Linked DNA regions of Cricetulus griseus. The protein of the gene in region 1 interacts with the protein of each later gene in a pairwise test. Links are inferred from orthologs where the notes say so. Each region holds a gene or a part of one and is shown in the gene's direction. Other genes may lie near its edges.

Evidence for each region.
Region 2: the proteins of Arrdc3 (region 1) and Otub2 interact in binary tests that used the Homo sapiens proteins (3 or more experiments, as listed by UniProt). The two-hybrid records come from large-scale screens. The link is inferred for Cricetulus griseus from reciprocal best matches to the Homo sapiens genes ARRDC3 and OTUB2.

What each region holds. Positions count from the first base shown.
Region 1 is NC_048595.1:301,361,156-301,364,809, forward strand, and holds part of Arrdc3 (arrestin domain-containing protein 3), read left to right. Parts: intron 1-382; coding exon 383-485; intron 486-820; coding exon 821-1,077; intron 1,078-1,331; coding exon 1,332-1,494; intron 1,495-1,727; coding exon of another isoform or gene 1,728-1,765; coding exon 1,766-1,920; intron 1,921-3,654. UniProt on the Homo sapiens protein: Adapter protein that plays a role in regulating cell-surface expression of adrenergic receptors and probably also other G protein-coupled receptors.
Region 2 is NC_048598.1:102,678,314-102,681,967, reverse strand, and holds part of Otub2 (ubiquitin thioesterase OTUB2), read left to right. Parts: intron 1-83; coding exon 84-168; intron 169-540; coding exon 541-735; intron 736-1,709; coding exon 1,710-1,916; 3' UTR 1,917-3,654. UniProt on the Homo sapiens protein: Hydrolase that can remove conjugated ubiquitin from proteins in vitro and may therefore play an important regulatory role at the level of protein turnover by preventing degradation.

The sequences.
Region 1 (3,654 bases):
TAAACAAATGATAACATCTTTAAATTGAATAAAAATGTGTTTTACATTTTATCAAACAACCTTTTTTTTTCTTTTTTCAAAATAAGATGTTGCCATTTTGAATTACAACCAAGTTTAAGACAATTTATGTGGAATTTGGAAAGGGTTTTTTTTTTAAATTAGTTTTCATTATTGTACACAATGGACTAAAAGTCTGCTTTGGAATAGGGTGTTAGGCCTTTAACCTATTTTATTGAATAGAAGTTTATATAAAGACAGAAGTTTGATATTTTTAAAAACTATCTGTTACAGGAACAAAATTGATTCTCTTAGTTACTTTTATAACAAACAATTCTGGCATTTTTATTAGTTCATACATTGATGTTTTTTCTCTTTCTTACAGTCACCCCAAGCAGGCACAAAAGACAAGACACTCTGTTGCTGGTTCTGCGCCTCAGGCCCAATATCCTTAAGTGCCAAAATCGAGAGGAAGGGCTACACCCCAGGTATGGATGCGGTTGGTGCCTACAAAAAGCAGTTTTCTTTATTAAGCATCTTGTATAAACTTGGCATTGTTACCGAATATAAACCCTCAGCATTCCTTACTTCGTAAAGCTGTGTAGGTTGTACAGATGGATCCCTTTTCTTTTCACAAATTATAGTCTCCTTTTTTGTGTAGTCAGGGTGAGTGAGCAGGTCATCTTTATAACAGTGAGTTATCCTTGCTCACTTCCAGGATAGCTTTTCCTCCATGGAGTTAGTTGAGCTTCAGAAGTCTACACCAGATACCAGTGTGTGCCTTTTTGTTTTCTAATAGTGAGTAACTGTTTTCCCTCTACAGGTGAATCAATACAGATATTTGCTGAGATTGAGAACTGCTCTTCCCGAATGGTAGTGCCAAAGGCAGCCATTTACCAAACACAGGCCTTCTATGCCAAAGGGAAAATGAAGGAAGTAAAACAGCTTGTGGCAAACTTACGTGGGGAGTCACTATCATCTGGGAAGACAGAGACATGGAATGGCAAGCTACTAAAAATTCCACCAGTTTCCCCCTCCATCCTTGACTGTAGTATAATCCGTGTGGAGTATTCACTAATGGTAGGTGTTCCTGTAAGAAGTTCTTATCACTTTTTCTTGAATCTGTGGGGTCCTTATTTTGACTTATTGATGCTTGGTAGACTGTAGATGTGTGTACAAAACATTGCATTATTACCTCACATAAACTAGGGCATTGCATATAAAAGAGAAGTTCTCTAGAAACTAAACGGGATCCCAGCTAATATCAAAATTAGGTTGTGTTTTTAAAAAAAATTCTGCTTAAATGCTGACTTCAACATCTGCTTACTGTTTAGGTATATGTGGATATTCCTGGAGCTATGGATTTGTTTCTTAATTTGCCACTTGTCATCGGTACCATTCCTCTTCATCCATTCGGTAGCAGAACCTCAAGTGTGAGCAGTCAGTGTAGCATGAACATGAACTGGCTCGGCCTATCCCTTCCTGAAAGACCTGAAGGTAATTTGATAATACATGTCTAAACTTACTCTATTATTAGTAGTAAGACTTTTTTCTTTTGTTTTTAATATTTTACAACCCTAGTTAAATTTTTATCTTTCTTCAGTTAGCATATGTAACCTTAATATTGTTTTGTTGTTTGTCCTGCTTGTTTTAATCACCAAACAAATAATTATTCTTTTACATGACATTTTTTTAATATCTACTATTCTGTGTATTTTGACATGCATAAGAACATGTTGTTCGAATTGCGTGTATCTTTTTCCTTCAGCACCACCCAGCTATGCAGAAGTAGTAACTGAGGAACAAAGACGAAATAATCTCGCCCCAGGGAATGCTTGCGATGGTTTTGAAAGAGCTCTTCAGGGACCACTGTTTGCATATATCCAGGAGTTTCGGTTCTTGCCTCCACCTCTTTATTCAGAGGTAAGTACCAAGTCAAGGATGAAATGTGCTGGGTCTCCTAGGAAACAGCAGTGCAAGCTTTTAAAAAAGATACAGGCTTTTAAAAGGTAGTCGTTTCTTAGTTAAGCTGATGATAAACATTTAGAACACCAGTTTAAAAGTTAGAATTGTCAGATCTTCTGACTTCATTCAGGAAATAAGGTGATGGCCAAACTTCGGTTGAATCATTAGCATTTTTTAATAAATGAGTTTATTTTAAAGTATCAGTAGAAAACTGGTATTTTGTAAGCATAATTAAATAGCTAGAATTTATATTGATCATAATCCTTTTCCAATCTAATTCTTTCATTTTTAACATTCTTAGTTATAGGAGAAAATAGCATATTTCCAAATAGCTTTTTAAGCCGGCGGTGGTGCACGCCTTTAATCTCAGCACTTGGGAGGCAGAGGCAGCAGGAGTATCTCTTGTTAGTTCGAAGCCAGCCTGGTTTACAGAGCAAGTTCCAGGACAGACAGGGCTACACAGAGAAACCCTGTCTCAAAAAAACCCAACAACAACAAAAAGAAAAAACAGACAGACCAAATAACTTCTTAAACAGCATTGTACACTCCTAGATTATTCTGCACTTTATATTAATGACACCAACACACATGTGAATAAGATGAGTACTTGCATTGGAAAAACTCACAGACTAGTGAGAAAAATTAACTTAGAAGGGAAAACCAGCCAGCGTCAACCTTGTTAGGAAACACCACTCATCTGATGAATCAATTATTGGGTCTTAGAAATCAGAAGGGCTTCTCTGAGAAGCTGAATTTTCAACAATAAGTAGCCCCTATACCTACAGTATAGGTTGGAAGAGCAGCCCAGCTGAAAGACAAGAAGGGGCTGTTTCTCTGTTGTACCTACACAGAGAAACCCGCCCTAGATGTAATTATGTAGAATCATCTTCATTAATTGTAGAGTACTCAGAATCTTTTCTTGCAAATTTTTGATTAGACATTTTTCCTGTCTTAGGATGGTTCATAAAAACACATGACTGAAAACCATTTTCCACAAATTTTATTACTTTTTTTTTTATTCTGACATTTCTTACTGTGTTCTGGCTTAATTTGAATGTTCATAGCTTTCAAGGGGGCATTTGAAAAGAATGATAATTAGAATTCACTTTAATTTGTCCTAAATTCTACACATTTCAAGATGAATATAATATAATTTCAACATTGTACAACCCTAAACTCTGGAATATGATTTAAATAAAAGGTAATTGGCTTTTTTCTTCAAAATGCATTTGGCATAAAAACTTCTGAGGTGATGTGGGTTATCTCATACTTAAAGTGAGCAGGACTTGTCCAGACAGATCTTTGAGTTAACCTTCACAGGACCCTTAGAAATGTTGTTCACAGAACCTAGGGAAGTGATGCAGTGACATTTTAGGACAAGAACAAAAGATACTTTACAAAGGAGTTGAGTGGTTTGATGGTGTACCCTAGTATATAACTGATTTTTAAGAACCCCAATGTTGAGTGAAAATACCCTTCCTAGTAACTTTGGTGAAATTGAACTATTCATGCATAACTATAAATCATATTGGTAACCTAACACCCTTTCATTCAAACATAACATGATCTTCAGATAGAGAGCATTATATTAGGGTGTAATCTGCTAAGCAGTCTTATGTATGCTCTGATAATATTGGTTACCTTTGCAGACTCAAAAGCAGTCATATACCAAATTAACTTTGTACATTTCAT
Region 2 (3,654 bases), on another chromosome or scaffold:
TGGACTGGACAATTGCCTGTCACAGCAACACCATGTGTTCCCCTTGCGACCGTCAGGTAAACATCAGGTCTCCTCCCCTCTAGGTTCAAAGAGCGTGTGCTACAGACCCCAAATGACCTTCTGGCTGCTGGCTTTGAGGAACACAAGTTCAGAAACTTCTTTAATGCTGTGAGTTCACCTGAGCCATACTGGCCTTCCACAAGGGCAGAGCAGACAGGAGCAGGCAGGCTGGAGGTCTTCGATCCACCCACAGCTGTGCAGCTTTGTTCTTAGTCCTCCCACCTGGGGCTGGGGCAAGGCCATTCCCTGCTGCTTGGGGGTATATGGGTCAAGGGGACCTCAGTTTGGAGGACTGTCAGCATCGTTCTGCCATTCTGAATATATGGTAGAAGGAGACTCAATGCCAGGCCCCTAGATGTGCCTCGGAGCCTCAACACTAAGACTTGCAATCTCAAAATGAGCTCTGAGGAAGTCGTGTGTGGGGTGGGGTGTGGGGGACAGGTGCTTGCTGGGGTCTATTCTGATGGTGGCAGCGTGAAGTTTTACAGTGTGGTAGAGCTGGTAGAGAAGGACAGCTCGGTGTCCAGCCTGCTGAAGGTGTTCAATGACCAGTGCTGCTCGGACCGGATCGTGCAGTTCTTGCGCCTGCTCACATCGGCCTTCATCAGGAACCGAGCTGACTTCTTCCGACATTTCATTGATGAGGAGATGGACATCAAAGACTTCTGCACTCATGTATGTCCCTAGGGTCGTCCTGTAGCCCCTGGCCTAGGCTTTGCTTGTCTGTCTCTTACACATCCCAGGACCACTGTTTCTGCCCAGAGGAACATCCTTGCAATGTCAGCTAGCAAGGTTAGCACCTGGAGGCATCTTCCATGAGTGGCCTGAGCGCCGAGGCTTGAGCAAGCAGCTTGTATTCCCAGGGAATCGCCTATCTGGAATCTCAGGACTGCTCTGCTGATAAGCAGCTGAGTGGCAGCTCCTGTCATGCTAACCCTAAGATGGGCTTTTGTTTAGATAATATTTATCTGAAGGAGTGGCCCACATGTAAGGAAGTGGACAATTATGGCTACTTGGATTTTTTTTTTTTTTAATTAGGAGGTACTGGGCCCTAAGTTGGACGGCGACTACCAGTAGGCACAAGAACAGCTGCCCTCTTTGGGGTACCTGCCACCATCTCTGCCTCTCTGTTGTCTCTACAGCAGCAGGACTCACACACAGGCTCTGGCCACTGCCAAGCACTTATACTTGGAAGCCTTTGATGACAAGGTCCTCTTAGTTCTAAGTTCTGATGCTAGCCTAAAAGATTCCTCCCCTTTTGCACATTCCTTAAAGGGTATGGAATAAAAATGGCTCAGGTTTGCGGCACACCTTTAATCCCAGCACTCGAGAGGCAGAGGCAGGCAGATCTCTATGAGTTCGAGGCCAGCCTGGTCTCCAGAGCGAGTGCCAGGATAGGCTCCAAAGCTACACAGAGAAACCCTGTCTCGAAAAACCAAAAAAAAAAAAAATAGGTTCAGGTTCATTTTCTGCAAGCCCTGTAGTCTCTGTGTTGCTTCCATGACAGATGGTTATCAGCACCTGCGCTCACATGTGCTTGGGAAGAACCCCCCCACCCCACCCCCAGCACAGGAGACCATGATCCTGAGAGCCAGGGTTTCACTCACCCTCCCCGCGCCCCTCCTAAGTGTTTCATTTTGGCATTGCAGGAAGTGGAGCCCATGGCCATGGAGTGTGACCACGTCCAGATCACAGCTCTGTCGCAGGCACTGAACATTGCTCTGCAGGTGGAGTATGTGGATGAGATGGACACAGCTCTGAACCACCACGTGTTCCCTGAGGCTGCCACCCCTTCCGTTTATCTGCTCTATAAAACATCCCACTACAACATCCTTTATGCAGCCGAAAAACACTAATTTTAGGCCATGCCGGAGCCTGTCATCTAATGGACTGCATTCTGAATGGAACATTCTGCCTTGGCAATTTTTTAATTGATTTAGACAACTAGAAACATACAGCCTTTTGGGTAAAGCCACTGAACTGAGACCTGTGCCCACTATGGACTGTCATGACTTAATAGGAATTTTAGTATTTATTTTGATAGATGATGTAATGCCTGCTAACTCTGGACCAGAAAGCCAGGAACCCTATGTATCCGTTTACTGTAAGAACCTCGTTGGACCTATTTATTTATCTGGAAGAGGTTCCTGGCAGTGTTGACATGCCGCTGTGTAAAAATGGGGAAATCCGGTTTATCCTTAACAGGGACAGTAGCCTTCATAGGGGGGGAAAAAAAAAAAAAAAAAACTCAGGTCAGCTGTCAAATTCAGGTGACTCACCAGACCTATGAAGAGTCCAGCCCTGCTATGTATGTTGGGTGTGTAATGGTAGACAACTGTCTGAATGTGAGGGGCTTGTGTGGAGTTTCCTTCATGATGGCTGTGCTTTCCCATCCATTGGGGGGTGGGGGGAGAGGGAGTGGGGGAGAGAAAACATGAGAGACTTTTATACCAAAGTCAGAAAAGGGTTTTAGCCTTCAGCATGAAGCTCAGGTTGTGAAGTCCTTCTGCCTCAGGGCCACAGCTCTTGACTTTGAAGACAGGCCCTTCAGAGTTTGGCTGTCAGCCCCACTTGGATAAGGCTTGACAAAGCCGAGGGCTTGTACCTGAGTCAGTGTTTATGTCTGGGACTGGGGAGCTGCATCTGCCCGCCCATCATCTCCAGTGAATTCTAGAAGTAGGGTCTAGGTAGTCAGCTGGGTAGGGGTGTGTACAGCCTGGAAACAGGAAGAGCAGAGCACAGGGTCTGCAAGGCTCTTCAGTTTTCCCCAGCCCAACTTTGTAGGCAGCTAGGCATAAAAGAACAGACAAGCCATACAAGTTGGCAGCAGGGACGGTCCCAATGCTGGCAGCAGCCTCTTCGTCTGCACATGCCCCTTAACAGCCCCTTACTCGCCTTGCTGCCACCCGAGGACACTGGGGGACAATCAGCCTCCAGCTGGCCTGAGGCACTAACTAGCCATGCCTTCCTCTGTAGGACAGCCATGGAACCACCCACTAGTACCCTTCCTTGGGTGCAAGGTTCCCTCTCAATGTTTCATTCTGCAGGGCTTAAGACTTGTGGTGCTACAGTGAGGGTCTGCCAACAGTCTGCACACAGGACCAGAAGGATCCAAGTCTTAAATCTCACATCTGTATCTTTTCTTCTGCTTGGTGTAAGCCAAAAACTCCCAGATGTCTGGGCAGTGTGGAAACCAAGGCCAACATTTAGATCCAAGGGCCCCAGCTACTGAGTCTGTCACTGACACAGAGTATATAAATCTGACCTTCATCTTTTGTTAAGTGTCCCACCCTGATCTGGGTAAGAGTGTTTGTGACTATGACAAGTACCCTGGAAGAGCAGGCACTTATTTCCGTGACTATCTTCAGCCAGACTATTCTTCACTTCCAAGCTGAATGTATGAACATAGGATGCCTGCCTGGGCTGCTCCAAGGAGTTCAGATGGGTCTGGGAACAGGACAATGGGAACTTGGGAACATGCTAAAACCTGGCTGACCACAGCGATTTACTGGCTAGGCTACAGCAACAAATCATGCTAGCACGCCCACTTTCTGAGTGACTCCTGCACCCCTACAGCCACCTCTTTCTACACAA